Kluyveromyces lactis: one gene and its partner. The protein of the gene in region 2 purifies or fractionates together with the protein of the main gene of each other region. This does not show direct contact. Links are inferred from orthologs where the notes say so. Each region holds a gene or a part of one and is shown on either strand. Other genes may lie near its edges. The genes, in order: QCR2 and QCR6.

What was found.
Region 1: the proteins of QCR6 (region 2) and QCR2 purify together in Saccharomyces cerevisiae (affinity purification with western blotting; 3 studies listed by BioGRID, with this or other methods). This does not show direct contact. The link is inferred for Kluyveromyces lactis from reciprocal best matches to the Saccharomyces cerevisiae genes QCR6 and QCR2.

Annotation. Positions count from the first base shown.
Region 1 is NC_006038.1:323,045-326,178, forward strand, and holds QCR2 (ubiquinol--cytochrome-c reductase subunit 2), read left to right. Parts: upstream 1-1,491; coding exon 1,492-2,574; downstream 2,575-3,134. Other genes in the region: RPC82 (DNA-directed RNA polymerase III subunit C82), read right to left, coding at 1-605. UniProt on the Saccharomyces cerevisiae protein: Component of the ubiquinol-cytochrome c oxidoreductase, a multisubunit transmembrane complex that is part of the mitochondrial electron transport chain which drives oxidative phosphorylation.
Region 2 is NC_006040.1:1,355,515-1,358,166, forward strand, and holds QCR6 (ubiquinol--cytochrome-c reductase subunit 6), read right to left. Parts: upstream 911-2,652; coding exon 542-910; downstream 1-541. Other genes in the region: phosphate-sensing transcription factor PHO4, read right to left, coding at 1,990-2,652. UniProt on the Saccharomyces cerevisiae protein: Component of the ubiquinol-cytochrome c oxidoreductase, a multisubunit transmembrane complex that is part of the mitochondrial electron transport chain which drives oxidative phosphorylation.

The DNA of each region.
Region 1 (3,134 bases), on a different chromosome or scaffold from region 2:
TCAGCCAATCTGACGAAAGCTTGGTGGATATTGAAAATATCAGTATCATTGGAATTGGATTCAGACGCTAAATAATCTTTTACGGTAAGTGATCCAAGGGCGAGAACGTTATGAATAATTTGTTGTGCGATGTTGACCAAGTGTTGCTCCTCATCCTGGTTGAAATATTGAACAATTCTGTCGCTGATGTCACCCGCATATAACATAAGGAACAAACCTTCTTCGTTAAAGTAGTAATAAAGGGTCTTACGACCAGAGAGTGAGGTTTCTTCCAAATATTGTACGCATCTTAATTGAATCAAACTGACCAAAACGGTTTTAATACTGGACAACGAAAGTTCTGGTATGAAAGAATGAATTTCTCTCGTGGAGAGTCTTCCTTTGTTGACCAACACGGATAGAACAGTACTGGCTCTTTCACCAAGATGGGATCTGGCAAGTTCAGAGTATAAAAACGAATCTGGGTTAAGAGTTCTCTGCTCTAATGAAGAGATATCGATTGGTTCTGGTGATGTGGATGTGGATGGTTCTGCGGCTGATACAACACTTGCACCACCATTTGGAACAGCCGCATCGGGGATCAGGGCAGCTTGGGCAGCACTCATGTCAGTGCTTGCAATAACAATTGTTTATTTTCCTACCTTTTCTACAGTCGAGCCACCTTGTTGCAGTAGTCATGCATGTATGCGATGAGATGAGATGAGATCAATTCAATTGATAGATTTTTTTTTTCTTTCAATACGAATGGATGGGTCTTTCAAGAAGATCGAAAGAAACAGGCAACATTATTGTAAGTCACGTGGTCACAACCACGTGACTTTTGTGTTTCTGTGTCACGTGACATCTCATCACTCACGAACCAATCATTTCTAAGAACCGTGTCCAACCATTTTTTCTTCAAATGGTTTACCAATACCCTTTCACAGTGCATTACGCGATTCCTGTCTGTTCCCTCTCACTCCCAGTACGTTCCGCTAAAACCCGATATCCCCTTCTTACTGTGACTCCAAGATGGTCTAAGCACGCTTCTCCTTTCTACAGAATCAGCTCGCTTCTTCTCTGATTCCTCTGTAGAGATCAGTCTTCACATCTCGAAATATCTTTTTTTTTTCAATTTTTTTTTTTTTTGTTAGTTATTGGATTTTATCGCATATAGCTTTATTCAATAGGTTCTTGAAAAATTTATAACAAAATATGACAATTCTACTTCAAAGTTTAGAGCTTTTTGTTTGAAGATTGGTTTTGATTACAGGTTTTGTAAAGATTTGTGATTGATATACTATTTTGATTACTTTGTTTTACTCGTTACTCTGTCAGTGTACTTTTTTTGCTCTGTTTCGATACTTATTTTGTGTGTGAGTAAATATTATTTGAGTTTGGACATTAAAGGAAAAGTAGAGGAAGACCTTTTGATTAACGCATAATTGATATTGATATTGATTGATATTCTGACTCCCAAAATTAAAAAGCCCATAAACATATAATATAAAGATGTTGTCCAGTAGATTACAATTTGCCCAGCAAACTGCTAGAAAATTCAGTATTTCCGCTAAAGACGGTTCCGGTAAACTATCCACTTTGGCTGTTAAGGTTCACGGTGGTTCTCGTTACGCCGACAAAGAAGGTATTGCCCACCTTTTGTCCAGATTCAACTTCCATAACACCGGTAACAAGTCTGCTTTGAGATTGGTTAGAGAAAGTGAATTGTTGGGTGGTAAGTTCGAATCCAGTGTTGACAGAGAATACATCACTTTGAAGGCTACTTTCTTGAAGGAAGATCTTCCATACTTCGTTAACGCTTTGGGTAACGTTTTGTACAAGACCAGTTTCAGACCCCACGAATTACCAGAATCTGTCTTGCCAGCTGCTAAGTACGACATTTCCGTTTCTGAAACTAACCCAATCAACAAGGCCGAAGACTTACTTTACAATGTCTCTTTCAGAAAGGACTTAGGTAACACAGTTCTATACAGAGGTGTCGAGAAGGTCACCTTGGATGATATCAAGGCTTATGCCAACAAGGTCTACACCAAGGAAAACATTGAAATTGTTGGTCAAGGTGTCAACGAAGCTGACTTGAAGAGATTTGTCAACGACTCTTTGATTGGTTCTTTACCAACTGGCTCCAAGTTGGCTGCTCAAGCTCAACCAAAGTTCTTCTCCGGTGAAGCCAGATTAAGTGCTCCAGGTGCCTCCGTTGCCGCTATCGCTGTTCCAGTTACTAAGGAACAGTTCGCTACCTACGAAGTCTTGGCTAAGTACCTAACCTCTGCTTTGTCCGAATTGTCTCCATTAATTGACTCAGCTAAGTTAGACAAGTACGCTAATGCCGGCTTGTTCTCTTTATACGTCAAGGGTGAGGATGCTTCTGTCGTTGCTGAAAACATAAAGAAGGTCGTTGATACCTTGAAGAAGGATGTCGACATTTCAGCTGCTAAGGAATACACTGCCTTGCAATTATCTTTGGAAAACGCTCCAATCGATGTCTCTAATGTCAAGAATGTCAAGTTGGACAAATTCTCTTACGCCGCTGTAGGTAACGTCGCTAAGCTACCTTTCGCTGATGAATTGTAAATTTCATCACAGTTAAAAATAACTCACAGATTTTAACCTTTCTCCTACTAGCCAAAGTTACACACATAGTACTTTAAAACTGAAAAAAAAACAACAAACAAACACACATATTCATGAGAGATGACAGAATCACATCACTGAAATGTTTAGAAACGATATTACATTTCTATTGTACATATTTTTTATTATCTTTTACCTTTCGTGGCTTTTGGAAACATTGCAACCTAAAAGAAACCAATAAAATTCAAAAACAAAACTCTCTAAGATTCAAAAGAACACCTTTAACCTTTGGAAAAACTGGTGATGTTAAAAGAGAACCCGTCAATATCTTAATCTTTTGAAATGTGCAGAAGCCACTGATCAAATTCAACAGTTCTGTTGATTCATACAATCCCCATCACTGCTCTTAAGAAAAACAATCAAACAGAGGTTGTGGTGATATTGCAAGAACGTTGGTTTAATACGTAGTGTGTCTTCTTGCCGAACCTATTTTTATTTTCACATATCATCTTAGAAACTTATCACTTATTTATTGAAGTATATATCTCTGAACAAATATC
Region 2 (2,652 bases):
TACTCCTCTCTTTCCTTCTATTTGCAATGCCATGGGTGTTGAGAAAGGTTATTTTCTTAATTCTTTTGAGAAAAAAGAGGAAGAAAACCGAATCTAGTAGTAATAATAATAATAATAATAATAAAATAATGGTAGTGGAGTAGTCTCTTCTTCTGAATTTTTTTGGTACAGTTCTTCAAATTGATTCCAGATACCCTTCGATCTGTGATTCCTTCACTTTTTTGTTTCTTATTTTTAAATTTTAAGTTTATTGTGTTTCTAAGTCAATAATTCATAATAGTATGGGATGGATTGTGTGGTTGTTTGGAATTGAAAAGAAAACTCTACTTATTTCCTCAAATTGCAAGGGGGAACCTTAGGTGATTACGATAAGCTGAAACATCTTTTTCGCTTTTAAATTCTTTTAGAGATTGAATGTTGAAATATGTGTTAAGTATAACGGTTGATTTTTTGAACAGGACTGAAATAAAGGTTAGAAAAAAGTAGAATATGAACTCTCCTTTTCCATTTGCATTTATATTGATGAAATGGGATATCTCTTTTATTTCAAGTAATCGAACAGTTTTGGAGCAGCGCATTCATCCACGAAATGTGCCAAGTGGAAGAATTCTTCCACACAGTCCTCCTTGTATGCCAAATCTTCATAGCCTGGTTCTTCTTGTGCCTTTTGAACTCTTTCGACACATTCCAGATAATGATGAACCAAGTGCTTACCTTCTTCGGTAGATTTACATTCTTCTCTCAAAGCATCTAATTGATCACCTTGTTCTTCTTCTTCATCTTCATCGTCTTCATCTTCGTCATCTTCTTCCTCTTCTTCATCTTCTTCAACGTCGTCTTCAGCCTTGGCCACAGTTGGCACGAAAGCATCCTTTAATTCTTCCAAGTAAGCAGTAATAGAGGAAATCATTCTGTTCTCTTATAATATGTGTGTGTATGTTAATTTAAAATTGATAGTTTCAAAAAGGACAGGGAAATTCTAGTATCGAGTAAAATCAAAATACAACGAATAAATATGAATAAAGCCCAAAGTTTGTGAATGTATTGGTTGTATTATTGTTCTTATGAATATTTTATTCTGTGTATATCAAACAAAATAAAATAAAATAAAATCAAAACTGGATGTAATAGAATAAAACCAAATACCCGACGTATTAGTTACTTGATACCGTATTGAACCGAAAAGAAAACTTATAAAACCTAGTTAAACAACTTATGAATTGGAGCTAACCTAACAAAAATATGATATAACCGAAGTAATGTGAACTGAATATTATATCGATTGATTGATAGATATATTATAATTAAAATCGAAATATGAAATTTTTCATACTTTAAACTAAAAAAAAAAATATCGAAGGTCAAAAAAAAAAATTACGCAGAAATCAACGTATCAATGTGGAAGCATATAACGGAAACTCTACATATAGATAACCGATAAAATTCAAGGTTTAAACTGCACACGAATTAAGAGAGCTTGGATAGGGTTTGATTCTGAGCGGTTTTGGTGCTTGTTTGGCACCTTAGTCAATTGCTGGAGTCGCAGGAACGGACTATTTCCCTGCCCAAATTGGCCGGCCAATGAAATAATCGATGCTGGAAATGTTTATGTTATCCAGCCTTTGTACTGCCGTTTCAGTTGCGACATTGTATCGGTCATCACATTGTACGACGAATAAACAGGCTCTTTCCTCTTGAAATCTTACTTGTTGAGAGAACCAACAGCCGCTGTGGGCATAGGGGAGCCGCTAGAGGCTCCCGCACTGAGTCTGGCTTTTTTCGGAAGGAATAGCTATTAAAGGCGATCTGTGTCACACACGACGGTAGATTGTGATTGGTTCGTCGATAGTGATGGATGACATTTTATTTGCACGTGATACATAATTATCTATGATGTAAAGCAACTGAAAATATCATATCACGTGGTTTAAGGGTAAGAAACACTATAGATACATTTATACAGGCACAGAGAGAGAAAGATGTCTGTACTCACTGGTTGGAGTTTGCCTTCAACAATTGACGGATATACTGGGCAGCCAGCTCGACTGTGGTAGCTTTGGATGGGATTGCCGCCACGTCTTTGAGTTCCTTTGGAATCAAGGACTCAAGATCCTTCAATGCATTGTTCAATCTGTTTCTTCTTCCTTGTTCTGCTACTTTATGCACTTGCTTTTGCTTCTTTACCACGTCGTCATCATCATCGTCTTCTTCGTCACGTTCGTTTTCACGGTCAGCGTCAGCGTCATTTTCGTCATCCTCACTAGAGGATTTAGGTTTCTGAGAAGATCGATTTGATCCTCTTAATGAGGTTCGTCTTCCAGGCACGGATCTTGTTCTGCCGTTACTCTTCACAGAGGAATTTGAACTTGAAGCTGATGGTGCAGTAAGAGCTGGTGCAGTTGTTGCAGTGGTACCTGATGTAGATGTTGTAGAATTAGAATTAGCATTAATCGTGGGTGAAGTTGTTGTAGAACCATTATTTTTCTTTAGTTTCGTATTAGAACCGTTACTCGATGAGTTTGTATTGTTGAAACCTTGTTTCTGTACCGTAGGCGATTGCTTTTGATTGTTTTCACCTCCTGCGCCAGTGCCGCCCGCTTCTTCTACAGAAGATTGACGATGAGTAGCGGCAGTGCTGTAATAACCCTCAGA